Linked DNA regions of Tamandua tetradactyla. The protein of the gene in region 4 interacts with the protein of the main gene of each other region in a pairwise test. Links are inferred from orthologs where the notes say so. Each region holds a gene or a part of one and is shown on either strand. Other genes may lie near its edges.

Region 1 (7,152 bases), on a different chromosome or scaffold from region 4:
CCAAGAGACAACAGAGCAGATTCCAGGAACGGGCCTTAGGCAGAGAAAGAAGTCAGTATCAAGAGGAGGCCAAACCAAGAACAGAAAGCCTAAGGAATGCTTTATAATATAAAATCTCCTTTGATGTTTCCTTTCCTGACCTATGAGCCATAATCTTATAGTTTTGGGCCATAATCAGCCCTGCTTACAACCCCAGATTCATGCTTAATGTCCTTGCCATCTCTACAAGGTGCCTCCCCTCTATATTCCTGACTTAGACTGAGAAACTGGATGCAGATTCCAATGAATTCAGAGTCTCTCCTTGGCCCCCCATGATATGTATGAGTCTTCATCCTTGAGTGTTCACATTGCTTTTTAAGTGTCCACAAATGTATCTGCCTCTCCACTGGGCTATATGAGTTTCCCACACACCAGCCTGGGCCTCATTCAGCTTAGTGTTCCCAGAACCCAGCAGAGTATTTAGCCCATAGTAAATGATTTTTAAAATGCTCACCAAATAGTAGAATAAACACATGAACTCTAGATTAGAATTGTGACAACGTTACTGATTGGCTTCCCCACTGTCTTAGTGATCTAGACTCATTACCCTCATCCTTGTTAGTACTCATCTTTTTACTAAGCCTTCTCTAGGGTGTCAGAAGTGAGCCTTAGAGTCCCTTTCCTAGCAACCTTTGCAAGAACGAACTCTACTGGCATTTCCCCTGGTTGTCTATTGCATTCCCGTAAGTATAAGAGTCACCTTGCATGCATCCAAGTTATCCCAAAGCTCTTATTACCTTATTACTAAATTCCCTGAAGCAAGAAGGCAAGTTTGTTTTTATACTTTCCTGACTGTTTTATTTAAATTCTTTTAAAAATTCCCCAATATAATTAGCAAGTACTGACTTATCTCCTCCTATGTGCAGGCAGCTAGGATAGCTGGAGGGATCAAAAAAAAGACATCTGCTTTCTCTTCAGTCTTTTATCTCGGTGTGGAGGGAGGACAGGGACCCATGAGCATCAGTACCACCAAAGGCACTGCACAGACATAGGACCAGGGCAGCTTTGCCATGGTAGCCATCAGCGAGGCAGAGAAGAAGGCATCTGAGGAGAAAGTGGCACTGAAAGGGTAGGCATGATGTAAGCACAGAGTTGGGGAAGAGAAAGGAAGCAGGTCCAGGGCCCAGAACGCCTTTTGATGAACCCAGCAGTAAGCAGGAAGAGAGGCTAATGTTGGGGACACAGGGAAGGCAGGGGCAGGACAGGCTCCATGTCAGAAACCACAAGGATAAAGGTAGCCCAACACCATGCACTGCCCATCACACCGTGAAATCAATCCTTCCATCAACAATCTCCTCTGTAGCCCACGGGGGGGGGGAGGGGGGACACAATTAACTAAATAAAGATAGCTGATAAATCATTTAAACTTCTGATATCTTTTCAGTGTGGCATATTTGTACCACATAAGGAAAAAAAAAAGTGAGCTGGCAAAATCAGGGTTGCTAAGATCACCACAGATGAGCCCCAAAAGGCTGGCTGCTTTCGCAATACCTCAGAAGATGAGCAATTAAAATTCTTCCAGTATAACCATTTTAGAGGTGAAGGGCACCTATATGACAGCAGAGATTCATGCTTCTGCAAAGTTAATCTCCAGCTACACTTAACTGCATATACCAAGAGCCCTATCTTGTAGAGAAGTAGTTTTAAGGACCTAGTATAAGAATTTTAGACTACCTTCCTTTTCATAGACACAATACAGAACAGTTCAGTACTATGAATGCTAATCAAACTTAAGCTAAAGAGACTTTTCTTCCAACACAGAAATCTATACTTTTTTCCTTCATTATCTGCAGAGGGTTTTAGCATCATCTATGCCAATTCAATAGGAAATAATCTGCAATTTCACAAAAACTGTGATATTACTTCATGGAGTACAACTACAAAGACTGCACCTACTAATCACACACAAAAGATCACACAGATGTTCCCTTATCCTCTCTCCCGTAATAATTTCAGGGAAGAGAAAAGGGGAAAAAAATCAACATTTATTGCTTACCTTATTTAATTTTCAGAACAACTCTGTGAGGTAGGTTTCATTATCTTCATTTCAATAGATGACAGAAGTGAGGCTAAGCCATTTTTCCAAGACCATAAAGCTAGTAAGGGATAGAACTGGCATTCAAGCTCTGTCTTGAGTCTAAAAGCTCATGTCTCCTAGCTCCCTGAGAACAGGAGCCAAACACCTTGGCTGGGTCCAGTGGATGATGTGGGAGGGTAGGCAGGTTGTGGGGGAGGATGCAGTATCATAAAGAGGCTGACATCGTTTGGCTGCCCCTTCAACCTACCGCCAGGCAGAGTGAATTGTGATGCAGGCACTCACGTCACCTGGGTGGGGCAGGCAGAGGCAGAATGGGGCTTGACTGAACTGGGGGGGAAAGAGATGTTTGTACATCCACCTGGAGTCCAAGAGAGAGTGATTAGTCATAGGCTATAATTATGCCTATCAGCTGCTATGCTTTTAAAAATAGGATTTGATGCCAAATATGTGTAAAGAAAGATAACTATCTATCTAGAAGATGTGGCTGTCTGGAATTATCATGGGTTACCGGATGCAGAGAAGGTAGGTCTCCACTGATTGACTCTTCATTCCACTCTCTTATACCCAACTACACAAACAGTATTATCCTGACTCGGGTGGAAGATGTTCTCATATAAGATATAATTCCTGTCTGTAAGGAGCCAGAATACTGTGGGGGAAGTCAAACAACAAAAAAACATTTCAGGGCACAGTCAAGTAGAAAACATACACAGTCAATAATAATTTGAGGGGTCTAGAGGAGGGGGGGCACCTACCCTCCCATGAACTCAAAGTCTTTCCTTTCCACCCCTCACCCCTACTACCCACACTTAAGACAGAAGCAGAAAGAAACAAACTAATAGGGCCTTGTTCTAACCCTTGTAATTCACCAAATCCAAACAATACGATTTCTTCTGATTTAGATATAAGCCAGGGAAGGAGGAGAGAAGGGAGGGAGGGAGACTCTTTCATAGTAACTTCTAGGAATCTGTAAATGTATATATACGTTCCCTGAAACATAGTGTTTCCTTAGTACAGGGATACAAGAGGACATGCCACTATTTTCCAAACAAATCCTGGAGGAACATGCTCTAGCCCATTCTCTCAGTGATGGCTGCTGGAAAAATAAACATAATTTGACTTTTGTCCAGACCCTCTGTATGAGGTACACTGAACCCTCCTGTCTGGAAACAGGCTTTTGCCTATAATAAGAGAATGACTTGATTCTACATTTTGGGTGTGTATTATGGAAAACACAAATCAATAAACTTCATTGTTTTGCTGATATTATAGAGTTGGGGAAGAGAAAGGAAGCTGATTAATAAAACACTTAGCATCAAAGAGACATGTTCGACTTTAGAACAATGAGATGGCCACCCTGACAAGACATATTTGGGTACAATCTGGTGTGATGATATAGGATATTATAGGCCTGTAAAGAGAAGCAGTCAGGACTGTCCAGTGACTGATGCTAAAGGCTCATCCCAGGTTTCTTAACTATGACTGATCTGGATCCCACATTCCTGCTTCTCTTCAAGAGGGGCTGTGCCCAAATTCTCTTTACCATGGCACCAGTGACTATCCTTACACCCAAGAGGAGAGCTGTGGAGTCACCTCTATATAAGGGACTGAGGGCACCACTGAATCTTCTGCCCTGAAGTTCCAGCTTGCACCAAAGAGGCATCCTGTCCTAGAAGGCCATTGCTGGGAGTGAGCAGGAATAGAAGTGTGAGTGTAAAGAAGGACTGAGAATGGAAATCTTCTAGCAGCGCTTACATGCTATTATGATGATATATTTGCAAGCCTACCCCTTTTCCTGGACCAGGAGTTCCCTGAAGTCTGGAGTTCTGTCCATGAAACCTAGCAATATTCAGCAGATAGCATGGGCTCAGTATGAGATTACTGAAAACATGAAAAAATAAATGCTGCAAGTCAGAAGAGTTGCCCTCGATGAAAATTAGTGTTTTAAAGCTGCTGTGGCATTCAAGTATTTATAAGATGCCATGGAGACTGATTTAAATAGAAGCATGAATTGAATCAAATCCTACATATCTGATAATTTATCTGTGGACAAGAGCATTTGAGGAAGACTGTGGATATAAAGGTGAATCCATTTTTTCTGATCAGTTACAGGCTGATGTTCTTTGATATCTACCTCAGTCACATCCAATTCTTGAAGTATAAGGAAAAATCCATTTAAAAATAGGGTAATTGGGGAAAAAAAGAGTCTTCCATTAACTAGATTCAGATAATTCAATATTTTTACTACTAAACCCCAGAGATCTAGATTGCTAAGGAATAGCATTTGCTTTGAATAAAATACTATTTTGGGAAAGCCAGTATTGGCTTAATGAGATTTTTGTGTACTGGGCTTAATAAAAAAATTGTATTAGTCATTTTGTACAAATATGGTAGAGTTGATGAATTACTCATAATGAAGGAAAATAACCTCCAATCCATTTTAATAATTCTCTTACTTCAAAATACAGAAATTATCTGTAAGCACACAGAAACCTAGATGATGATACAGGTCCAGATAAAGGAAGTGATTAGCCAAAGTCACATAGCTAATTCACAGTAGAGATGAGATTAGAATCTAGGTTTCCTAACATCTTGTCTAAAACACTTCCTACCACATGCGTGGCTGGAGAACACACCTAGGCACCTAGGACAGGTGTGGCAGGCAGATCTCCACTGTTTGTATCATGTTGACTTTTCATGGAGACCCAAAGAGTCAATGCATTAAGCTTTAGTTTCCAGATTTGGAAATGGATTTCAGGCCATTAAAAAAACACAGCTACTATATATAGTAATTAATCATCATTTCATAAAGAAGGGATTTTAATATTAAAAATAGGATCTCTGAATGAACAGAGTTTTTATTTAAAACACTCACAATGCTCACCCACATTTTCCCCATTTTGTTATGGATCATGGAAAAACTTCAACATGCAAAGTCACTGTTAGTAGACCTACATTGGAGAACCAGTGGTTTTGTGGAAAGAACACAGAATTTGGGTCTCAACCACATCACAGTTACAACGCATCCTCGGGTGAGTCATTTTGACCTCTGGGTCTGTTTCCTATTCAGAAAGGTCAATAATAATTCCTGACCTACCTGCTGTAAGGGCTGTTTCTTTAAGCAAATCTAGTATGGTTAGTCTCAAAATGTAGCCTCAAGACCGCCTGACCCCATGCCAGAAAATCTGGAACCAGGATGTAGTTCTAAGAGGTCCAGATTAGAAGGCAAGAAACCTGAGTTCATATTTTTTAAATGGTGGTTTATAGTATCTGCTCTAATGACCACAGAGGCAGGTGTGTAAGATTACAAGTGTAAAATAATCCTTCAAAATTGAGGAAGTCAAATCAGTTAGACTCTTTTCTCAACTGACAAATAAGGATAGTGAACTAGATCAATGACTCCCTTTCAATAGCTAAACTTTTCTTCAGGCAAAATCTTTTGAAGAAGCAAAGGCTTTCAGCCAATGTGGAGCTGGTGTGGTACAAGTGATAAGGATCCCTGTCCTTTCCCCTTCCCTCTCACTCCCCTCCCTTCAGGTAGCCTCTGAGATACCCCCATGTTAGAACATAATTGAACTACTTGGTATCTGAGGTATATTTCTGGCTTCAGAGAAAGTAAGTCTAACCATTCGTCATCAATCAATGCCATAGAATGGAAAAAGCATGGAATATGTAGTCCCTCAATCATCGGACCTTCCTTCCCAATCAAGTAATTCATGTGTAGGATATCTCAGATTACATGGTGTTCAACAAACATAATCAACGAGGAAATCATTTTTTAAAAATCAAATTCATTACTATTCTTCAGTTAACACTGAGGTTCTAACCAAGTTTATTTTTTTCCTCCCTTTCTATTTTCATTGTGCCTATGGAATCTATCCCTTCCTTTCTACCCCCTACAGCCACACCCTCAGCATAAGTTTCAGGAAAGTACGAGGGCCACCCACCTGCCTTCTTTATATTATTATCTCGCTCTTCAGACCCCTTTAGTTAACCTCAAGCTTTCTTACTAAATTCACTGTTTTGATAGTGTCACCTGAAAAATCTGTGACTATGTACAAGTTCTCACTCCATAGTCTAGAAAGAGACACTACAAACTGATTAACTTCCAACTGCCCACACTCCCTAGCTCCTTTCAGTGTCAAGCATATTTATGTAGCAGGATTCTTGGATCTTTAGGCTCCAGCCTCAGATTCCTTGTCCTGGACATGCATGACTCTCTGGGTCTCATCTTGATAGAGAGCAGATTCCACCAGTCACCTCAGAGCTGAAGCCAACTCTTTGGAGTCATCCTTGACACACTGATTTCTCTCACATTCCCTTCCAGTGGCTGAGTCCAGGAAAACATGTTTGCAATGTGACCGTTCCGCATCAGCTCCACCACCATCCCTTCCTGGTTCTCCGACCATGTTCCCCTATGCTCAGCTCACTCTGAAACAGCTATCTGGTCTGCTTGCTGTCCTCAAATGCATCAAGCACACTCTAGCCTCTGGGCCTTCACACATGCTGGTTTCCTCTGCCTGAAAGGCTCTTCTCCCAGATATATGCTTGGATATATAATCCCTCCATTCACTCACGTTTCCCCTTAAATGTGGCCTCCTCAGAGAGGTCTTCCCTGACCACCCTATTTAAAGTAACACTTCCATTACCCTATCTTAAGGCTACTTTATCTTTTTTTTATAACATCAATTGAAATTCAATTCTATATTCATTAGTTTGTATGTTTTTTAACTGGTTCACCCCTCATTAGCTGTTCAGCTCTGTGAAGTCTGAACTGCAATTTTGTTTTCTGACCTAGTATACCTAGTGTCTAGAATAATATAGAACACTTACAAAGTGTTCAATAAATATTTTTAATCAGTCAAATAAGTAGCTCCCCAAATTGGACTTTGTCTTTAAGCACCTCATGTCATACCCATGTACATATAATGCTGAACAATGTGTATATTGTTACATTATAGCAATGAATAAATATGTATATATTTATTATAAATAAATATAAATAAATATTTCATGGGCAGGCACTGGGAATATATATTTTTGATATTTCAAAATTAGTTTTTTACTTTTTTGAA
Region 2 (6,880 bases), about 52 Mb from region 4:
ATTAAAAGCCAAACCATCTCTGGTGTGTTGCATTCCAGCAGCTAGCAAACTAGAACAACATATCAAGGAGTGACAGCCCAGCAGGAGAAATCCTCCCAGGTCCTATAGCCTACCCCACTCCAGACGCCCTTAGGGCAAGGACCACCAAACACCATGAACCCCATAGCAGTGAGCCCAATATTGGACACCACGGGAAGCCCAAGAAAATGCTGGCTGAATTAAAATTGTTCCCCCAGGGTAAAGGAGATGAAGCAGGCTGCAGGATTATCAGGGCGAGCCAGGATGAGGGGTAGAGGCAGCAGGTGTTTGTCACTGGTTCGTTAGATCTGACTGACCATGGGGAGAAAAATAGAACTGAATAGCACATGGAAGAACTAGGGGACTTTTTTGGGGGGGTTTGCTGCTTTTAAATAAGTGTATATTTTTCTTAGATAGAGGGCCTCTTCCCATGTTTGGACACTTAAGTGAAAGAGCTAATGAAGAAAGGGAAATTGGGACTGCAGGAGAGAGTGGGGAATGAGGGGGGTCTGCTCCCAGAAAAGGAGGAGGCAGAAGGGGTGCTGTAAAGGCCCCTGGATGGAGGGGACCTTTAGATAAAAAGGGAAACCTAAGCCAGCTAAGGCAGACCACAAAATAAAAAGAAACAATTAAAGCTGTCTTCACTTGAGCATCCCCAAAAGCAGATCCTGAAACAAGAATGTGAGTGCAAATAGCTTACTTGAGGCATTATCCCAAAACCCAAGAGCAGGAGAAAGGGAAGGAGGCAACGCCAATGGAACAATGCGTTCTCCCCTTCCATTTTGGGCAAAGGTGGAGTAACAGGGAAAACTTTAAAAACTGTACAAAATATATGATATAAGGCTTTTCAAGACATGCAAACATCACGCAAAGAATAATGATCCCCGAGAGGTGGGAAACAAAGGCGATAGCCCCTTTGTTTTTGTGAATAGCACCCCCACCACACCCTTAGTACAGTCTCCAAGCTATGGAGCAGGGAGGGGGATCCCAGGGTGAATCCAGTGGTTTCCCTTAGTCCAGACAGAGTTGAAATCCAGGGAGGCCCTTCTAGGCAGCCACAGGTTACAGGAGCAAGTCTACGGAAGAGAGTCCTACTTAACAAAGCTTAAAAACAAGGCACAGGAGGTGCGAGGGTAGTTCAATGGTAGAATTCTTGCCTGACATGCGGGAGACTTGGGTTCGATTCCTGGTCCATGCACTCCCCAAAACAAACAAACAAACAAAAAACACACAAGTAAGCAAAAATTCAACAAATGGTGCTGCAACAACAGGATACTCACATGGAAAAATAATGAAACGTGACCATCCCCGCCCGCCATACAGCATACAAAAAAAGGCATACACAAGTTTGTGATCCAGCTCAGGGGTTCCCAATCCTGGCAAATGGTCAGAATCGCCCAAAGGGCACTGCCTGGGGCCCTCCATCAGAGATTGTGATATAGCAGCCTGAGCAACTGACAGTAGCTTTAACCCACCCCCACCCCAGGTGATTCTAATGAGCAGCCAGGGTTGAGAACCATTCAGCCATGCTAGAGATGGTACAAGGTTTCAAACCTTGTAACACAGATTTTAGTGAGTCCTTTAATCCCCGCCTCCTCCGTCTACAATGATGTCATTTTTTGTTGTATTCATGAAGCATATTAAATTGGAAAGCACTTTTTTCAGATTTCAGGAGGCTCACATGCATAATTCATTTATTCCTTACAATCCTACCTGGTAGGCACAGGTGATACAGAAGAAGAAACTATGGCATATGGCATGGAGAAGTCCAGTTACCTGCCCTAGATCCACAAGGAGTGGCAACACAGGAGAGCTGGCCCAGTGCCCACCCTCTTATCTGTTGCTTCTCTGCTGCCCCATCTTGGTGGCTCCCCAAGTTGTCCTGTGAAGCAGGTGAGAGGCTCAGCTCCCAGTGTGCCTGACACTGAGTAGGCAGCCACAAAACTCTGATGAGGAGAATGTCTCCCTGGGACCACCTGTCCGTAACTGTGCTTCACCCCAGGCATGGTCCTAAAGGCAAAGGGCCAGGAGAAACCTGATAGCTTGTGAAAGCAATCTCCCTTTCATTATTCTCCTTCAATTTTACACCGCATGGAAACAAGTTTTACAAAAACTTTATACTTCTTTGACAAAGTAACCACAATTTATCTGAGAAACTCAGTTACATTAAAGAAACCCTCTTCCTCATCTCCATTCCATTCCGAAAAGCACAACCAAAAAAAAAAAAAAACCCACAAGACTGGACAAGGGATTTTCCATCTGATACTTTCTCCAGCTACAGGGAAGGGAGCACAAACTCTCTGCCGAGCTGCGTCCATGTTGCAACCTCCGCACAGCTGTGAAGTGGCTGAACAGGGGAAAGGGGGTGCAGCCCCATTCGCCAGGATTGATTCAACCCCAGAGCTTTAAACTCTAGCTGACGGTAAGGATGGCGATGAATCTGCCATAACACTGCAGCCTAATAATAATGGTTGACAGGTGGAGAATCCACCGCGATGCTGCCTGATTAATCAACACAAGATGAGTCCTCAGCCTAGCTTTCCAGAAAGTGGCTTCGCTTACCTCCAGAGGCCCACACCCCACGCCCAGCCCCCCGCCTTGCGCTGGGCCGGGCAACCTTACCCGCAAGAGCACAAGTCGCAGATGCACTTCCTCTTCGAAGGGGCCATCCTAAGGACCTGTGTCCACGTAGAACATCCCCTGCCGCCCCTGCCGCCCCTGCCGCCCGGTGTGCCCCAGCCGCCTCACTGGGGGCACACCAAGTCTCAAGGTCCTGGGCAAATGTTCTCCGTATTTATTCAAAAGAAAATTTAAGAGGCCCTTTTGCAAAGCCCTGTGATCTGTTGCCTTCCTTATGCTGGCCTTGCACGAGGGGCAGCAGGGAGGGCGGATGGCGCGCCAGCCCTGGCCACCTCCCCATGCACGCGGCCGCCCCAGCCTCTGCGCCCCGGACCCATGCACGTGGAGCGGTGTCCCGCCAGGGGAAATGAGGACTCTCTGTGACGTCGTGGGCCAGGAAGGGCACATATCTAGATGGCAATGACATCACAAGGGCCACTTGTGACGTGAGGGAGTCCCCAGTACCCCACTTGGAAAGCCCAGGACAAGATTTACCCCACTGGACCTTGGAAAAACATAAAGGAAGGTGGACTTTGGAAAGCTCGTGGGTGCGCTTATCAGCAAATGCCACGATCGCCTGTACAGAAAAGCTGAAAAGGCCACTGCCATCACATTATGTGGCATTTTCTGTCTCTAGGATCCGTGGTTCTCTTTTTTTATAGAAATGCATCCCTTGACCTCCAGAAGACTAACCTTAAATGCCCTTTCCAGACTAAATATAGTTAAGATGTCGATTCTACCTAAATTGATTTACAGGTACAATGCAATACAAATTAAAATCCCAAAAACTTCCTTTTCAGAAATAGAAAAACCAATAACCAAATTTATCCGGAAGGGCAGGGTGCCCCAAATAGCTAAAAGTATCCTGAGAAAAAAAAAATGAAGTCGGAGGTCTCACGCTACCTGATTTTAAGGCATATTATGAAGCTACAGTGGTCAAAACAGCATGGTACTGGCATAAAGATAGATATGCTGACCAATGGGATCGGATAGAGTGTTCAGATATAGACCCTCTCATCTATGGACATTTGATCTTTGATAAGGCAGTCAAGCCAACTCACCTGGGACAGAACAGTCTCTTCAATAAATGGTCCCTAGAGAACTGGATATCCATATGCAAAAGAATGAAAGAGGACCCATATCTCACACCCTATACAAAAGTTAACTCAAATTGGATCAAAGACCTAAACATTAGATCTAAGACCATAAAAGTGTTAGAAGAAAAGATAGGGAAATATCTTATAAATCTTATACTTGGAGGCGGTTTTCTAGACCTTACACCCAAAGCAAGAGCATTGAAGACAGAAAGAAAGAAATGGGAACTCCTCAAAATTAAACACATTTGTGCATCAAAGAACTTCATCAAGAAAGTAAAAAGACAGCCTACACAATGGGAGACAATATTTGGAAACAACATAGCAGATAAAGTTCTAGTATCCAGAATTTATAAAGAGATTGTTCGACTCAACAACAAAAAGACAGCCAATCCAATTACAAAATGGGAAGAAGACTTGAACAGATACTTCTCAGAAGAGGAAATACAAATGGCCAAAAGGCACATGAAGAGATGCTCAACTTCCCTGGCCATTAGAGAAATGCAAATCAAAACCACAATGAGATATCATCTCACACCCACCAGAACGGCCATTATCAACAAAACAGAAAATGACAAGAGCTGGAGAGGATGTGGAGAAAGAGGCACACTTATCCACTGTTGGTGGGAATGTCAAATGGTGCAACCACTGTGGAAGGCAGTTTGGCGGTTCCTCAAAAAGCTGAATATAGAATTGCCATATGACCTGGCAGTACCGTTGCTAGGTATCTACTCAAAGGACATAAGGGCAAAGACACAAACAGACATTGGCACACAAATGTTTATAGCAGCATTATTTACAACTGCAAAGAGATGGAAACAGCCAAAACGTCCATCAACAGACGAGTGGCTAAACAAACGGCGGTATATACATACGGTGGAATATTATGCAGCTGTAAGACAGAATAAAGTTATGAAGTATGTAACAACATGAATGGACCTTAAGGACATTATGCTGAGTGAGATTAGCCAGAAACAAAAGGACAAATACTGTGTGGTCTCACTGATATGAACTGACATTAGTGAATAAACTTGGAATGTTTCGCTGGTAACAGAGACCACCAGGAGATAGAAATAGCGTAAGATATTGGGTAATTGGAGCTAAAGAGATACAGATTGTGCAACAGGACTGAATATAAAAACTCAGAAATGGACAGCACAATACTACCTAACTGTAATACAATTATGTTAAAACACTGAATGAAGCTGAATGTGAGAATGATTGAGGGAGGAGGGCTGGGGACATAAATGAAATCAGAAAGAAAGACAGATGTTAAAGATTGAGATGGTATAATCTAGGAATGCCTAGAGTGTATCATGATAGTAACTAAATGTGCAAATTTAAAAAATGTTTTTGCATGAGGAAGCACAAAGGAATGTCATTACTGCAGGGTGCTGAAAATAGATGGTAATTAATATTTTAAAATTTCAACTTATGTGTGAGACTAAAGCAAAAAATGTTTATTTGGTGCAAAATTTATATTTTGACTAGTGCATTTCCTAATATAACTTATGAGGATAGCTTGGTTGAACATCATAAGTACATGGAACCTTGGGTAGGACATGAGATTTTGTTGATTTTTCCACCGTGATGACCCGATGAATCCCAGAGTGGTTCAATCAGTGAGTGGAAAAGTATTTGCAAAGTCCCCTTCGGGGAATGGTGAGAACAGGGGAAAATTCAACCTCCCCAAGTTGAATTCTTGATATTCTCACAAGCAGTGTGGACAACCAAAGCTCTAGGCTGAGCCCCCAGTCTTGGGGCTTGTTCATATGATACATAATCCCTCAAAGGATAGGTCAAGCCTACTTAAAATTAGGCCTAAGAGTCGCCCCCAAGAGAGCCTCTTTTGTTGCTCAGATGTGGCCTCTCTCTCCAGCCAACACATCAAGCCAACTCACCACCCTCCCCCTGTCTACATGGGACATGACTCCCAGGGGTGTGGACCTTCCTGGCAACTTGGGACAGAAATCCTAGAATGAGCTGAGACTCAGCATCACAGGATTGAGAAAAACCCTAGAATGAGCTGTGACTCAGCATCAAGGGATTGAGAAAACCTTCTGGACCAAAAGGGGGAAGAGTGAAATGAGACAAAGTGTCAATGGCTGAGAGATTCCAGAGTCGAGAGGTCATTCTGGAGGTTATTCTTACTCATTAAGTACATATCACCTTGTTATTCAGGATGTAATGGAGAGGCTGGAGGGAACTGCCTGAAGATGTAGAGCTGTGTTCCAGTAGCCATGTTTCTTGGAGATGATTGAATAATGATATAGCTTTCGCAATGTGACTGTGTAATTGTGAAAACCTTGTGTCTGATGCTCCTTTTATCTACCTTGTTAACAGACGAGTAGAACATATGGAATAAAAATAAATAATAGGGGGAACAATTGTTAAAATAAATTTATTTTGAAATGCTAGTGATCAATGAAAGGAAGGGGTAAGGGGTATGGTATGTATAATTTTTTTTTCTGTTTTCGTTTGATTTCTTTTTCTGTTTTTTTTCTTTTTCTGAATTGATGCAAATGTTCTAAGAAATGATCATGATGATCAATATGCAACTATGTGATGATATTGTGAATTACTGATTATATATGTAGAATGGATGACCATATGTTAAGAATGTTTGTGTTTCTTTCTAGTCTTTTTTTTAAATTTAAAAATTAATAAAAAAAAAAATGCCCTTTCCAGATCTTCCTTGGGGAAATCCACGCCTGTGGCTTCAAGTGCCTTTTGAGAATTGCTCCCACACACAGACCTTGCTCCCTTGAGACCAAAGCAGTTTAAAGCGCCAGGCCTCTACTGGTCATACGGTGCGCAATCTTCCAGGTGGTAATGTGGACCCTTGAAGCACTGGTTTTCAGATTTTGTGCATCAGAATCACCTGGAAGGCTTGATAAGCACCAGTTTGCCAGGCTCTTACCCCCTGGAGTTTCTGATTCAGAAAGGCATGTGTGGGGCCAAAAATATTCATTTCTAACAAGTTCCTAAGCGCTGCTGATTCTCCTGGGTCCAGGACCAGGCTTTGAGAACCTCCCCTTGATGCAGTGTTTCTCTAACTTACTTGCTCCTGAGAGCCACTTCAAATTGCTGGCCTGAACCCTCCTACATTGACTCTCTAGTTTTAGCAAAAAAAACCCAGGTGATTCTGA
Region 3 (7,604 bases), on a different chromosome or scaffold from region 4:
GGTCAGCTGTGGACATGGGCAGCCAGGGCAGTCAGAACCCTAATTCCCCCCATTGCCTTTCCTGGGCCTTCTTACAGCTTTCCACCATCAGAGGAGGAGCCCATCCATAGGATGTCTGGTTGGTTTTTACGCTATACAGGAGTTTTCTGAGGGAGGAGGACAGAGGCCAGCACCTACAATTCTGAGAAACGCTCCAGGGCCGCCTCCACTACTACTGGGTCCTGAGTGACACCGAGCTGGAAAGCTGGGTCCCCCATGTCTCTGCTTTCCCGTCAGTTAAGAATGGAAACATTGTAGCTGCTGGGGTTGAGATACGTCGGGGAGGGGGGCATGGGTAAGCTTGGGGGGCATGGGTAAGCTTGGGGGGCATGGGTAAGCTTGGGGAGCACTAAGATTCTTGGAGGTGAGTGGGTTGAGGCTTAGGAATCAAGAACCAACCTGGGAGCCCAAGGCCCTCACCTCATGCAGGCTGAGCTGCTTGCCCTCCCGCCGTTTGGAGTCAAAACGGCCATAGATGATGCTGTACTTGCGGATCTCCTCTTCCTTCTGGCTATCATTATCATCCATCTCAAAGATATGCCCCACGCTCCGAGCCAGCTTCTTATTCAGCTTCAGCAGGGATGTTACTTCCCCAGCATCCCCCCTTGGGAAGCTCCGGAAGATCCTGTCCACACTCTCCACCACCATGCGTACCATCTCTGGCTCCAGTCGGTCTGGACCACCCCCAGTCCCACCTGCTGCCAGACCCCCAGCCCCAGTCCCTTCAGGAACTCCTCCCCCTGCAGGTGGGGAGAAGGGTGGCGAGCCAGCCTCCTCTTCTCCTCCCGCCCCAATGTCTGACTCTGGAGTGCTCCGTCCTGGCCAGATCCGGGGATCCCCTGCTCCAGGGCCCCCTGGCAGCGGTGACAGCTTCTCCCCAAGTTCCAGGGGGCTCTTAGGGCTAAAACTGCGGGCACTGCCCGCCTTTTCCCCTGGGCTGCCATGCCCGTTGCTCATGCTCCCTTTCCGGGTACCCGCCGTCTCAGAGATCTTGAAGAGTGGGATGCTAGAGACGGGCACGGCAGGCACCGGCTGGCTGAAAAGCCCTGGATTGGTGGCCCACTCTCTCAGTGCCTTCTGCAGGCGACGGACATGGAGAGGCTTGGTGGCCATGCCCACGAGGGCCATGATCTCCAGGAACTCCTCCTCACCCGCCTCGCACAGCTGCTGCACGTCGTCCCCTCCCTGCTGGATGAAGGTCTCATAGTAGGAAAGGAGGTTGGCACGCTGCAGGACCCGGTACAGCTGCAGCTCCCCCAGTGTCCGAGGCAGTGCCATAGCTTGGGCACTGGGCCTGCGGAGGAGGTACACAGAGTGAGGCAATCGGTATAAGTCCCTCTGCTGGGGACCATCCCATACCCACAACTGTCCTTTCATGTCTTCCCTTCTTTTGAATGCTCTCTCTGCCCACTGCCCAGGCCTAAGCACAGACTATGAGAATCAGACACTCTGCAAAACCTTAGATCATCCAGTGCCATCTCAGACTGCTTGGGTGCACCTAAAACCAGTGCTCAGTCCCTACAGAAGTCAAAGACTCTAAGTCCCTATCTTCAGTTTTTACCCTTCAGCTCCCAAGCTAGCCAGCACATCCCTGGAATTGCTGAACCTTTGTGCCCCTCAGAACAGTCTTCACCTTCATCCTAAACACCCAGCAGCTCTCAACACCACCTGGGCGACATCCCATGCTCAGGTGACTGTAAGACCACCTCTCTTCCCACTGTGGACACTGAGCCCACTGATGGCTGAATCCTTGATGGCATTTTGCATTTTGCCCCGATGGCTAACAAGGAGGTGTGGCCCCTTCCCTGCCTCACTCAGTGAACCATATGAGCCTCTCTCCTTAGCTCCCTCCTCTTCCTTTAGGTGTTCTCAAGGCACCCTTGCTCACTACCCCCAGTTCTTCCCCTCCTTTCTGGGTTGCCCAATGCCCCACACTTGGCCCCTCTCCTGGCAGTGACCTTCTCATCTGCTTAACAGGCCTGTTCCTTCAGCTCAGGCATGGGGGGGTGGTAAGGGAGGGGCGACTCAATTGTTCTGCTCTGGGGCCGTTCCGCCCCCACACCCTCCCACAGCGGTAGCGTCTGTGGGCGAAAAAATGCCTGGGGGCTCTCGCCTACCCTCCTCTCCCTCATTTTCCACCCACATCTTCAAATAGAGTGGGGGAGTGGCTCAAGGCGGGAGAGGCAGCACTCCAACAGTTGCCCCCACCTCCACCCCGCTGTGAATAAAGGCACAGAAATGGGAAGAGAGAGCTTAACGCATCCTCTGCTTGCCCAGTGTCCCGCAGATGCTTCCTTGGCTCAAACGCGCCGGTTCTCTCAGGTGGGAGTCAACGTCAGACTAAACAAGCTGAAGAGGCCCTCCTCGGACACTTCTGCCACCTAGAGCTCCCGGGGTTCCCTGGCACTTGGGCGGGGGGGGGGGGGGAGCTTCCGCATTCTTTGACCGGTTCCCTGCCAGGTCATGCTCACAGAGTAAAAGGCGAGGGGGAACTAGGTACAACTCTTTCTTATCCCAAATCCCTGCCCCCTCCCAGGGCCCCCTAATTCCAAGACTTACCCCCTTTTCCATCAGTCTCCACCCCCCACCCCCGTCCCGCTTTCCCTCTTCCTCCCTCGACCTCCGCCCTTTGGACCCCATTTGAGTCCGGCTCCACCCACTCCACTTCCCACCGCTTCCCTTTGCTCACTAACTTGAGTCTGGGCTGCGGGATCTGGCGGGCGCTGTCCCCTCCGCCCGGCGGCTGCTCGGCTGTGGGGGAGGGTGCTCTGTGCATGGACGGTCGGAGACTACCGGGGCTGCCCCTCTCGGTGCCTGGCACTCGGCGCCCGGTGCGCGCTGCGCTCTTCCCGGCGCGCGAAGCCGTGTCCGCCGCTGTCCAGGCTCCGTCCCTCCCTCCACGTCTCCTCTCTTCGAGCCTCCGCGCCTCTGCCTGTGCCTCTGCGCCCCCCCCACCCTCCCCAGCAGCGCTTGCCGCCTCTCCGTGCCTCCGCCTCCGCAGGACGCACGGGGAGCGAGGCCCGGCGCTGCGCTGGCTGGCGGGCTGGCGGGCGGAGGGCGTGGGCAGAGCCGGTGGCGGGGGGCGGAGGCCGGGGGCGAGGGGCGGGCACCCGGGCCTCTCGGCCGCGGAGATACCGCGGCAGAGAGGCTGAGGGAGGCGGAGACTGGGGGGGAGGGATTGCGGAGCAGTAAGCGGGGGCGGGGACTCGGAGCCGGGGCGCCGACTTGGGGACCGAGGTGACCGAGAACGGACTGTGGAGGGCGGGCTTGGGGACCCAGCGGGCGGGGAGAGGTCGCCCCGAGCCGCCCACGCCGGATGCACAGCCGGTCCTCTCCGCGCCCACGTACCCACGTGAGCTCCCCGCCGGCCACATTACCCCCCCCACTTCTCTGAGCTGAGAGCCGAGTGTCACAACCACGCACAGGTACACAAAGACAGAGAAGTGCACACGCGCTGAAACAACTCAAGAACGTTCGCTGCCCACACTCAGGTCTCGCGGTGCTGTGCGTGTGAATGTTAGGAGGGAGCTAGGAAAGTTGGCGGAGGCTCCTGGGCGCGCGGCTCTTTCTGCGCGCAGCTGACTCCCGTGCGGTTTGCACTTAGGGCAAGTCTCCGAGCGTGAGGCTGAGTGAGACTCCCTTAGATGTTCCGGCGCCCTTATTCAGCCCCAAAGGAATAATTTGGGGAGGCCACTTTCGGAGAACGAGGCTAGCTCCGTCCCTGCCTCGCGTCGCTGCAGGAGTTTGGGGAACAGGAATTGGGGTGGTTATGCTGGAGTTCACCACTTAGACGTGCGTAGATTAAACGGGTCGGAAGTTGTTAGCGCGTAGGTCAGGCAGGGGGCGGAGACACTCCGCCCTCCCCTACCTGTCGCCACCTATTTGTTGAGGGGGACCCGCCCCTTAGCAATTCTGTGTGGCAAACCTGTATTAGGGAAGATACCCGTCTGGAGACGTCTATTAAATGGTCTTGCCGGGAAGAGTCAAGTGGAATTCCCGCCTGAGGCTGGAGCGTTCGACGTGGCTTCCTACGGAAGAACTGGAGGGAGGAGCGCCTTGAAGGAGCCAGGCTCCCTCCTCAACCCACCGTCTCCTACCCCTTAGTTTTTCCCCATCTGGTTTCCATTTCACTCCCTCCCACGGTTGGGAGGGCCGGGGCGGAGGGGTAAGCTTGCGGGGGCTCTGAGGGCCCCGCCCAGCCGCCAAAGGCCCTGGGGTAAAAAGGGGTGGGGCGGGGCAGGGGTGGGAGTGGTAGGAAGAGAATGGTTAGGCCAGAGACAAGGTTCCCCCTAGTCTGAAACCTCAGCTCCGCCCCACCCCGCCGTTCCACACTTTTGAATGGTCCAGAGCTTAGCGGAGCGTGGGTGGCGTGGGCGGGGGCCGGTTCTGCATTCCGGCCGGGCCTTTAGGTCTCTGATGAGGTAGGGAGGTTGTTGGCCGTGGGTGGGGGGTGGGGGGTGGGGGATGGATTTCGGTAGTTAATATTTTCCTTCCCATCTCATTAAGCACCAAACACAGTGGGGGGCTTGTAGCAACGAGCACTGCCCCCCTCTCCTCCCGACTCCCCATCCCGCAACCAGAGGCGCGCCTAGACAGGCTCAGTCCGGGCACGCTCCCCGACCCTCCTCTGATGTCAGTGGGCACGGCCCCTCCCCCACTCCAGCTATGGTTATTTTGGATCCTGGGCTGCCAGCCGCTGGCCCCGGGTTTCCATGTGCCCCCTCCCTCCACCTGCCCACGCTCCTCGTGACGCACATCCTCCGCCCACGCAGCCTCTGTTAGAGGCGCCCCTCTCCCTCCCACCCGGGCCCCCTTGGGGCGGTGCTGAGCCCCGGGATCCGGAGGGAGACTCTGGCCCAGGGAGGAGGGCGGAGCCGGGGGTGGGAACCTACTAGGCCCGCGCGCCTGGGTTCCAGCTTCGGAAAGAGGACGAGGGAGGAGCCTGGGGCCTCTCCCCGGTCCTGGAGCAGGTACTCGGCTAGAGAGGAAGGTGGGAAGAAAAGTCCCGCGGACTGGGCTTGCCCACTTATCTGCGGGAGCTGGTGGGGGTGGGGTGTCCGGGTGCCAACGTGTATGTGTGTGAAGGAGTTAAACTCCCGAGTGTTTATAACTGTTTCTCAAGGTTGTCCTGAGATTGAAATGAGACAATGTATGTGAAAACTGCTTGTAAATTGTAAAATGCTAAGTAAATCTGAGACGCTGTCACTGGTTTGTGCCTCTCTACCCTGAAATTATGTATTTTTGTTTCTTTACATCTACTTTTGTATATGTGTGTCTGTCTCTCTCTAGGTTTGTATGAGTCCCAAAGCGTGGATTTTTAAAAAGTGATATATAATGTTAAAATCATTGACTTGTCGGGCCCCGTCGAGGCCCAGAGCGCCCCCGCAGCCGGAGCTGCTGAGATGTTTGTTCTTCGCTTCCCTCCCACTCCTATCACCCCCAACTCCCTCCCACTCCCTTCCGTTGAGAACAAGGAATTTCCAGCTTTGGGAAAAGGGAAAGAGACAAAGAGAGAATGAGACTATGAGAAGCTATAGAAAAGCATAAAGATAAGAGACAGATTGGAGGGGATATGACAGAGGGGAGTGGAATCCATACAAAAAAATCTTCCTGGTCTTTTCGCCGTGCATCCCATTCTCTCCAGTGGCTCCTTTTCTCTTTCCGACCACTTTCCTACCTGACTCAACTACCCGGCCCCGTTCCCCTACCCACCCCACCCCCGCCTTTTCCCTCAGTGTTTTCTGAGGCAAGTAGAGTAAATGTCCCATTTAATCAAGGATTAGTACTTTATTTTATGGTCCAGGCGGGTCTCTTTCAGGAAGCGTTTCTGCAGCAAAGCAGTATCTTCAGTCCCAGTTTTCCAAGAAGACAGGAAGAGGTAGGGAAGAAACGGGGTGGAAGTGTAAAGGAAGAGGAAAACCAGAAGGATTTTCATTGCCACGCGTAGACTTTCATCGTGCAGATTTCAGTGTTTATTCCTCCCCTCACGTTTTCACCAAACCAGTTCCCACTCAGCAAAGTCTGGCTCACATGTCACCTTCCGGGATCCTGCTTCCTAGATCCTCTCCAGTCCTCCACGCAGAGATTATTCCTCCCACCTCCACGGCCTCTGGACTCTTTCAATTATAGTTTGTTTCACCCTCAGCCCAAGACCTCTCTAGGCTGGGCCCTCAGAATTGAATGAATTGATGATGGTGCTTTGAGGCCTGAGGAGCTTTGAAAAGGGCAGCCCTGTAGATATCACTCCAATTGGGGCTAAACCTAGACAAGGCAGTTAAGTAGAGAAGTTGGTTTTCCACATCTGTCGAAAATCAGCTTCCAGGGAGTCTCACAAGTTTGGCTCCTTGACCTTCTAAAATGTCTACTTTTTTGGTCATTGAATTTACACCCAGATCTAAAGGAAGAGGCTGAAATCCTTCCTGGTAATAGAAAGGTACTGTAGTAGGGAAAAACTCTGAACTTCACCCAAGCATTGGAGCCTTTGAGAAGTGGATAAGCTTTTTTTTTTGCTGGTAGTCTCAGGTGACGCCAGTCCAAAGTCTGATTCCCGAATGTCTTTTGTTTTAAGATTATATAGGCCAGCTTCCAGAGCGGGAGTCACCATGGGAATGGACAGTGATGGTGTTGTAAGCAAACACTTCCTCTAGCTTGTGGGGCGGGAGTTACCGTGGGAATGGATAGGGATGGATAGGGGTTAGTTGCAAGCTCTTTTAGCTGATATTTCTTATCTGGAAAACAGACACTTCGTCTGGCTAAGTGGGCAGAACTGGGCATGCCTAGGCAGGTACAGTAGACATTTTCTTTCAGATAGCATGTTTTTACACATTCTTGAAAATACACAAATTTATAAAGTCATTCCAGCCAGTAAATGCAACAATAACTGGAGTCACTCTTATGAACAACCTCATTCCACCCTTTTGAGGATATTATTCATCACATTTTATTTTACAGATGCAGCACCGTTTTCATTTGTAGGGACTGGTTTATTTTTATGATGGTTCGAGGGGTGCAGGCCTCTGAGATTAAATAAGTGGGAGGCAGTTTTTCTGTCTACTAAGGCTTCTATAGTTCTACTTATACTTTAATAAGCAGGGGAAGAGGCAGAGGAACATAAGACACATACTAAGCAGCACTAAAACACTTCCAGTTAGAGTTTTGAATTCTCCAAAGGTTGAGAACCACCCTCTGAACAGGTTTTTGGGTTTGAGCTGTTCCAGGTCTGAACCAGGACATGGGCTAGGGTTTTCATGTGATTGGTGATTTCCTTTATCACTTTTCCTAGGTTTTCTAACTGCAGGCAACAGGAGTATGGGGTGGTGGTCCTGCAGGGACAAAGGGAAAGGGCAAGGAAGATTAACATTTCAATGTTTTGCAACTTATATAGGAAAGGAGGCGTCACCTGGATACATGGATAATGCCAGTAAATTAAAGTAAAAGTTTTGGGGAAGTAATGAAGACAGATTACTTCTGCAAGTACTAACATTGCTAGATACATGACATATGCGAACACAAGGATAAAAGATGCTGAACTGCAGACATGGCAAGCTGCATCACTCATTTCATAA
Region 4 (7,833 bases):
AGGACAGAACCCAGACGCACAGCCGAGGGACAGCCAAGAGATAGCTGGTCCTCTAAGTGCTCCCAAACATTCCAGAACCCCAGCTGCCCCTTCCCCATGCACTCCCACAGGCTCAGTGTGAGCCCAGCAAAGGGACCAGCCCACCCTGTCAGGAGCCAATGCCTCAACGGCAAGTCCACTTGGTATACGAGGACTTTTAGGTCCCCCGAAGTAACACAATATGCAGTAGCCATTCTTTTGGGTTAGTGGCCAAGATCCAAGAACAACCCCAAGACTCAAAGGTGAGGCAAGTGGGTCTCATGCGTAACCTCAATCAGGAGCAGGCAACTGCTGCCTCCAGCACCCCGCACGCATCCAGGCTCACCCAGGACTCATGGAGGGGACACTGGCAGACAAATAAATAGACAGCAAGAGGCAGCTCGAAAATACCCACCACAGCAGCTCATGAAGTAGCCGTCCTGATCCCCGTCCTCGGTTTTTGTCAAAGGCATAGGCAAATATCTTAGCACCATTTCCATCTGCATCTACTTCCATTCGGGCCTGAAAAGGAAGAAAGAAAAGGTGTGTTTAAAAAGCCTCAGTCATTCTGGGGAACAATTCAAATTCTTTGTAGAAAAAAACAAGTGAAACAAATAAGCCAGACAAACAAATGCCAGCCCAGTCCCTAAGACCATGGGACCCTCCCTAGGACTCGCTCTCTTGCCATGGCAGTTTTCCACATGGGCACTGAGAAGCCAACCATGTCCGACAATTACTCTTTCTTCTGCTCAGGCAAGAAATGCCCATGAATAACTCTGCAAAATACTGTGGACACAAAGGCAAATATGTTTTCCTAACCCTGAAAAGGCTCACAGTCTAATAAGAGACAAGCCCCCAGATCAAACAATCATGGTAAAAAATGTCAAGGGCTGAAATGTAACATGGCAGAGCGACATGAAGAGAAGGGAACACTTTGGTGAAGAGAAGTTTGTCAAGTAGAGTCCACCAGGGAGAGGCATGAGAGCACCAAGGGCGCAGATAGGTGATTGGAGAATGGAAGATGTTTGTGGCATACAGGAGAACTGGCAGCCCAAGGCAGGAAGACAGGCTGAGGTACACGGCAGAGTCTCACTAAGGAACAGGGACAATAGTCAATTTCACAGATGTTTTATCACAAAAATGACAAAATTTGCTTTGTTTTTTAAAGAAGAGAAGTTAACACCCAGAGTAGAGGTGAGGAAAGGCCACATCCCAGGGGTCAGGCGGGAGGTCCTGTGGGCAATGTCATTGGAACTCCAGGTAGAGACCAGGACTTTGGACATGGGAGGCAGGATATATCTGGGTTTGGGGTCTCTCACTCCCATAGCACAAGGCAGAAAACTCATTTCTCCGGGCCCTCCCAAGGCTCCCATGGGCTAACCGAAAGCAGACCAGAAAAGGGCCAGACTGTCCTTACCTCGAAGGAGTAGCTCTCCACCAGCGGGATGTCTTGTTCATCTATCAGTGTGTACTTCGTCTAGAAATTAACCAGATGTTTCAAATCATTACACTAGGGATCAGCATGAGGCACTCAAATTATGGCCAAGAGCAGGATGAACTGTGGTTTCTCGTGAAGGAGAAGATAACTAAAGGCCCCTTCAGGTCGACAAAGGACTCACCTTGGCATGGGGTAAGACACAGGTGGATGTGTTAGAATACAAGTGGGAGAGGGTTTCGTCTGTCCAGAGGAGTCTGATTCCATGCACATGAGATTCCCCAAGAGAGTGACACTGAATCAGGCTGACTGCTCGCTTCTACCTAGTCAGAGATGGTGGGCTCACTGGAGCAGAGGGAGGGGGCATGACTGAGAAGAATATTCAGGATGTCTCAGTTACTGTTTAACTAATTAGGACGGGTGGTAAGTACACAGGTGTTCAATAAACTATTCTGGTTAGCTGTCTATTCGAAATGTTCCAAACAAGAGATTCAAGTGATGAGAGATACGGCATCAGTCACTGATATCTTTCCCTTTGAAGGGGTCTCAGAATTTAATGGGGAACTCAAGCTTCGCTTAGAAAACTACATCCCCAACAGCTGCTGCTGGAGCTCTTGCAGAAAAAGAAGAAAACGGTCACATGACTGGTCTAACTCTTGGAAAGTTACTACTGCTAGCGGATCTGAAAGGGCTTCATCTTCATCTGACTGCACACTGCCTCTTCTCTCTCCCACCAGAAATCTCTGCCACTGGTGAAGGAGTCGGGTTCCCACCCAGGCTAAGGTCAAGTGGCTGGTACAGCTGCAGGGGCCAGCCGCTGGAAACAGCCAAGCCTCCCGGCTCACAGGTGCCAATGACAAACACGTAAAGGTTAGGGCCAGGTAAAGGGAATGAAAAAGCCCAAGAGCGGATGGCAGCAGAGGGAGGCCCTGGAGACCCTGGCTTCCTGTCCCTGCTTTGGAGAAACCTGTGGACGCTCTGCCAAATGTGGCCAACCCTTGGCAGCATTAAAACGAGCCCCTAAGCACCCCTGTTAACCGAGAGACGCAGAACTTGGCCACCAGTCCACACCGGACCCCCTTTAGCAGGTGTGGAAGTGGCACTGCCTCAGAAAGGGCGCTGCGTTCGACCCGTGCGGCCGCAGGTACAGGCCCCAGATAGCAGGCACACCTGGACCGGGCCAGGTGAAGCGGGACGAGGCGCGGGGCGCTTGCTCCGAGGGCAGGCCATGCGTCCCGCACGCGCAGCGGGCCCGCGGGGCTGGACCAGCAGCAGCAACCAGGTGCGTCCGCGGGCCGAAGGCGAGAGCCCTGGGTCGGAGGCCGGAGCCCGCCGCGCCGCACGCCCTGCGAGAAGGCTGCACCGCGCCGCCCGCCGACCCCGGCCTGGCCTGGCTCCCACCGCGCCCTCTCCCTGCTCACCTTCCCGGCCACCCGGCCGAGCCGCACGATGCCCAGCTTGAAGTCGGTCATGGCCGGGCCTGCGCTCGCCCGGCAGCGCCGCTCCCCCGGGAGGCGCTGGGGCCCGGGCAGGGGCGAGGCCGCGGCGCGCTTGTCCGAGGTCGGGGCCGGCGTTCGGGCGGGCCCCAGACGCGACGGGACGAGGCTGGGCCGGGATCGGGCCGCCGCCGTCGCCACCGCCGCCGGACCTGCCACGCGCCGCCGCCGCCACCGCCGCCGCCGCTGCCGCGCGCACCGCCGCGAGCCGAGGGGGCGGGGCGCCGCCGACACACCCCCGCCCGCGGCCGCCGACCAATCACGAGGTGCGCACCGCGCCGACCGGCGCGCGCCGACACACAGCGGCCAATAGGAGACGGGCGAGTGCGCCGGCGCCCTAGGGGCAAAGCGAGCGCGGGGGAGGGGCAGGGCGGGGGGCGGCGCCTGCGCGGCCGGCTCGGCACCGACGTCAGTTTCGCGGGAAGCTTTGGCTGCGGCGGCGGAGGCTTGGCGGCCCCGGCCGGGATCCCGCTGACCTTTGGCCGGACCCCGCCGGACCCCGGCCCGGGCCATGCGGTCCCAGGCCCAGACCTCGCCGGCCTCAGGCCGAGACCCCGCCGACCAGGCCGCCCCCGGCCCGACCCTGCCTCCTTGCCGGTGCCCTCGCCAAGACCGCCCCTCCCGCGCTGTGTCCAGCGGAGGCCCCGACGTCCTTTCGAGACGGATCCTGAGGCAGCTGTGTGGAGTCAGGAGCAACGAGGAGACTGGGAGAGACGCGTGGGCCCTGGCGGTGGGAAGGTGGAGGGAGGGGGCGGACGGACTGCAAGCCTTGGCCAGACGCTGGGAGGCGGGAGGGGTGCCTCTGGAAAGGCAGCACAAGGCCTTGCCCATCTGAGCCTCGGGGCTTGCTTGCTGGCCAGGTCATGTAACTGTCCTCGTGTCTCCTGGTTTGCCTGCTCTCCTCCCTTCTCTGTGCGGAGGCTAGGTCAGGCCCACCACGTGATCTGGGGGCTTTAACCCCGCAGTTCATCCTCAGCGTCCACCGACCCTCACTGTAAGCTGGGCTGATGCTCCAGGATGGAGAATTTCTGCTGGGGACAGAAAGTCCTGTGACCAGTTCTTCCCGGAAACAGGAACTCCAGGGACCATCTGGGTTACAGACTCCAGCAAGAAAGCTGAGACCCTCTCAGAGAGGAGCTAAGTGGGGCCTTGGCTGGCATGCGTCGGGATCGAAACAGGAGCAGTACTGCCCCTCTTCCCCGCCCCACTGCCAGGATTGAGGTGGGGCAGGTCCTGTGTCCATCAACAGAGGGTGATCCCCCAAACCTCCTTTCTTGTATGCTGGGTTATGTTTTAGAGACAAGATCTGCAAAGGGTTTTTTGTGAGAGACCAGAAATTCCATCTGTGGATCCCTTGAGACTTGTCTGTTCCCCTGAATGTCCTGGAGGACAGGAAGGACTGGCAGGTCCTGGCCTGGGTGGAGATGGAGGATCTGGTCCTTACTGCTCGCAGCACATGTCCTGCCAACCTCAGATTGACATAAACGTAGTGAGATTATTAGAAAGTTCTGTATGGAATTAGAGTGCTGTTCTAGTTTGCTAGCTGCAGTAATGCAATATACCAAAAATGGAATGGCTTTTAAAAAGAGGAATTTAATAAGTTACAAGTTTACAGTTCTAAAGCTGTGAAAATGTCCCAATTAAAGCAAGTCTATAGAAATGTCCAATCTAAGTCATCCAGGGAAAGATACCTTGATTCAAGAAGGCCGATGAAGTTCAGGGTTTCTCTCTCAAGTGGAAAGGCACATGGCGAACAAGGCATCTGCTAACTTCCTCTCCAGGTTTCTTGCTTCATAAAGTTTCCTGGAAGCGTTTTCCTTCTTCATCTCCAAAGGTCACTGGCTGGTAGTCCCTGTGGGTCTCTCGTCCTTCTGTCATGGTTTTGTGGCTCCCTACTTGTTCTCAAAAGGAAATCTCTCCAAAATGTCTCCTCTTCTATAGGATTCCAATAAACCAATCAAGACCCACCTAGAATGGGTGGAGACACGTCTCCATCTAATTATGTTTAATATCCGCAATTGATTGAGTCACATCTCCGTGGAGATAACCTAATCAAGTCTCTGAACTATAGTGCTGAATAGGGATTAGAAGAGATGTTGCTCCCACAAGATTGATTAGGATTAAAACACCCCTTTTCTAGGGTACATAAATCAATTCAAACCAGCACAGGTGCCATAAAGAGGTTGGGCTTTATGTGGTGGAGGCAGCTGGGTGCTCATGTAGAATGGTGGGAAAGCTTTGGTGCCTTAATGTGGGTTTCCCCAGAGGTCAACATGTAATAGGAATTTGAGTGCCAGCCGTTTGTGAGGGGACACGAAGCAATGGGAGGGCCTGGAGATGCCATGCAGGAGAGAAGGGTAGCCAGCAGGGAGCGTTGTTGATCCAGCCCAATGACAGCGGCTGCGCTGGGGCCTCAGAGGCAGCACAGGACACTCTCAGGTTACCTCACCAAGGGGTGAGGGGTACTCACCCCTGACCTCGGCAGTCATGGGCTGGGTGCTGCTCCTGGGGAAGTTCAGCCCTCAGCATGTCTAGCAGAACTAGGTCCACAGCAGGAGAAAAGCATCAGGTGATGGAGAGCAGAGATGTCAGTGCAAGGTCCTATGGGCAGGGTCCACCTGTCTTGCAGGGGACATGTACCTGGACAGCTTTGAGCAATGTAACAACTTTACCTCTTGGGTTTCAATTCAGTCCCCAAGTATAATGAGCACAGCATTGCCTACCTCTTGGTGATGTGTAAGGATGACGTGAGGTGACAGTTCTCTCTCTTGCAGCTCCCACTCCCACCAACATCCCCCCCTCCCCAGAAGGAAAACCCTGGGCCCCACATCTGCCTCCAGCTACTGCCCCATATTCCTGCTGCCTTTCACAGCACATATTCTTGAAAGAATTGTCTGTGCTTCTTGCCTCCTCTGTGTTTTCTACTGTTTCATAACAGATTGCCAGAAATGTAGTGGCTTTAAAAAATATAAATTTATCATCTCCCAGTTCTATATATCAGAAGTCCTCGTGGCTTTGGTTGGTTTCACAATGCCAAGCCGAAGAGTTTGCTGCCTTGGAGCTGCTTTCTGGAGGCTCTGGGGCAGAATCCACTTCTAGCCTCTTTCAGGTCTTTGACAGTGGTTGTAGGAGGTGCCTGTTTCTTTGCTTTTTTTTTAAACTTTGGGTCATTCTCAGACTCTAGAGGTCACCTGCATTTCCTGGCTCATGGACCCCTTCACCTTCAGAGCGAGCAGTGGCAGGTTAAGTCCTCACACTTTGAATCTCTCTAACCTCCCCTTCTGCCTCATCTTCCTTCCTTCAGCCAGAGAACGTTAACTGCTTTTGAGTGCTTAATGTAATCAGAGTGGGCCCACTCAGATAATCTCTGTATTTTCAGGTACTGACTGGTGGTTTGAAGCTGTATATACCCCAGAAAAACATGTTCTTAACGTTAACCCATTCCTGTGCGTGTGAATCACTGTAAGCAGGACCTTCTTTTTTCCTTAATTTTTTATTAATTAAAAAAAAAAATTACAAGAAAGAAACACAAACATTTTTAATATATACTCATTCCGTTCTACATATATTATCAGTAATTCACAATATCATCACATAGTTACATATTCATCATCATGATCATTTCTTAGAACATTTGCATTAATTCAGAAAAAGAAATAAAAAGACAACAGAATAGTAAAACAAACAAACAAAAAAATTTTACATACCATACCCCTTACCCCTCCCTTTCATTGATCACTAGCATTTCAAACTAAATTTATTTTAACATTTGTAAGCAGGACCTTTTGACGAGGCTACTTCAGCTAAGGTGTGACCCACCTCAATCAGAATGGACCTTAATCCTCTTACTGGAGTCCTTTATTAATGAAATAAACAGAGAGAGAAAGCCCCTGAAGCAGGAAGCTGAAAGCAATGAAACAAAACTTGGAAGAGAAGGGAAAGACCAGCAGATCCGGCATGTGCCTGGCCATGTGGCAGAGGAGCCCAGGATCGCCAGCAGCCGGTCTTCAGGAAGAAGGCTTCACCTAATGATGGCTTGACTTGGACATTTTCTCAGATTTTAGCAGTAAGCAAATAAATTCCCATAGTTTATAGTTATATGCCTTCTCCATAATATCTGGAAGTAGAAGCAATTTGTTATGCACAAAAGTGGAAGCAAATTATTAAAATCTACAGATTTTAATTTTTAAGTAGAGTGAGCATGTTGAATTTAAATATGAATAACCCCAACAATTTTCAGTTTCTGTTTTGCTTTGGTCAAACTTTGGTGTGTGTTCATCACCCATCAGTTGTTTGTGAGGATGTATCTTCTATATGAATATTGTTTCAAGTTTATATGGGAAAAATTGGAACTAAACATTTCATCGTCCCAAGTCTGCAGAAGAAGCACAATTATATTGCTTTGTCTTGCTTATAGTTACTAAATCATTACTTTTGAAAAAATAATTCCTTTGTTTAAGTTGAACCATTTCATGGTATTTGCTTGGAGCAGCCTAGGAAACCAAATCAGTAACCCTTGCGACATTCGCAAAGTCCCATTTGTCATGTAATATGACTCATGTATAGGTTCCAGGGATGAGGAACAACCTTGGGGGCCATTCTGACCAGCACACCAAGTCTCTTGACTTCCATCCCCACCACTCCACTCCAACTACCCTTGTTGAAGTCCTGATAACCTCTACTGCCAAGTCCACTGGTCACTGTGGCATTGCTCAGCAGCTTTGAGCATCCACCATGGTGTTATAGACTCTAGAGGGTACTTTAGTGAACGAAACAAACAGAAACCTGTTCACATTCCAGTGAGAGAGGCAGAAAATATGCATAACTAAGCAGTATGTTGTGTTAGAAAGCAATAAACACTATGGGAAAATAAGTAGATCGACA

What was found.
Region 1: the proteins of ZMYND19 (region 4) and ENOX1 interact in binary tests that used the Homo sapiens proteins (3 or more experiments, as listed by UniProt). The two-hybrid records come from large-scale screens. The link is inferred for Tamandua tetradactyla from reciprocal best matches to the Homo sapiens genes ZMYND19 and ENOX1.
Region 2: the proteins of ZMYND19 (region 4) and SAXO1 interact in binary tests that used the Homo sapiens proteins (3 or more experiments, as listed by UniProt). The two-hybrid records come from large-scale screens. The link is inferred for Tamandua tetradactyla from reciprocal best matches to the Homo sapiens genes ZMYND19 and SAXO1.
Region 3: the proteins of ZMYND19 (region 4) and NAB2 interact in binary tests that used the Homo sapiens proteins (3 or more experiments, as listed by UniProt). The two-hybrid records come from large-scale screens. The link is inferred for Tamandua tetradactyla from reciprocal best matches to the Homo sapiens genes ZMYND19 and NAB2.

The regions. Positions count from the first base shown.
Region 1 is NC_135330.1:115,493,493-115,500,644, reverse strand, and holds the start of ENOX1 (ecto-NOX disulfide-thiol exchanger 1), read right to left. Parts: upstream 3,004-7,152; 5' UTR 2,036-3,003; intron 1-2,035. UniProt on the Homo sapiens protein: Probably acts as a terminal oxidase of plasma electron transport from cytosolic NAD(P)H via hydroquinones to acceptors at the cell surface.
Region 2 is NC_135328.1:78,081,329-78,088,208, reverse strand, and holds the start of SAXO1 (stabilizer of axonemal microtubules 1), read right to left. Parts: upstream 3,002-6,880; 5' UTR 2,688-3,001; coding exon 2,641-2,687; intron 1-2,640. UniProt on the Homo sapiens protein: May play a role in the regulation of cilium length. Stabilizes microtubules at low temperature.
Region 3 is NC_135333.1:124,235,554-124,243,157, reverse strand, and holds the start of NAB2 (NGFI-A-binding protein 2), read right to left. Parts: upstream 3,010-7,604; 5' UTR 2,816-3,009; coding exon 2,733-2,815; intron 1,334-2,732; coding exon 460-1,333; intron 7-459; coding exon 1-6. UniProt on the Homo sapiens protein: Acts as a transcriptional repressor for zinc finger transcription factors EGR1 and EGR2. Isoform 2 lacks repression ability.
Region 4 is NC_135328.1:130,322,550-130,330,382, reverse strand, and holds the start of ZMYND19 (zinc finger MYND domain-containing protein 19), read right to left. Parts: upstream 3,004-7,833; 5' UTR 2,926-3,003; coding exon 2,875-2,925; intron 2,330-2,874; exon of another isoform or gene 1,533-2,329; intron 1,496-1,532; coding exon 1,436-1,495; intron 1,213-1,435; exon of another isoform or gene 541-1,212; coding exon 434-540; exon of another isoform or gene 1-433. UniProt on the Homo sapiens protein: May be involved as a regulatory molecule in GPR24/MCH-R1 signaling.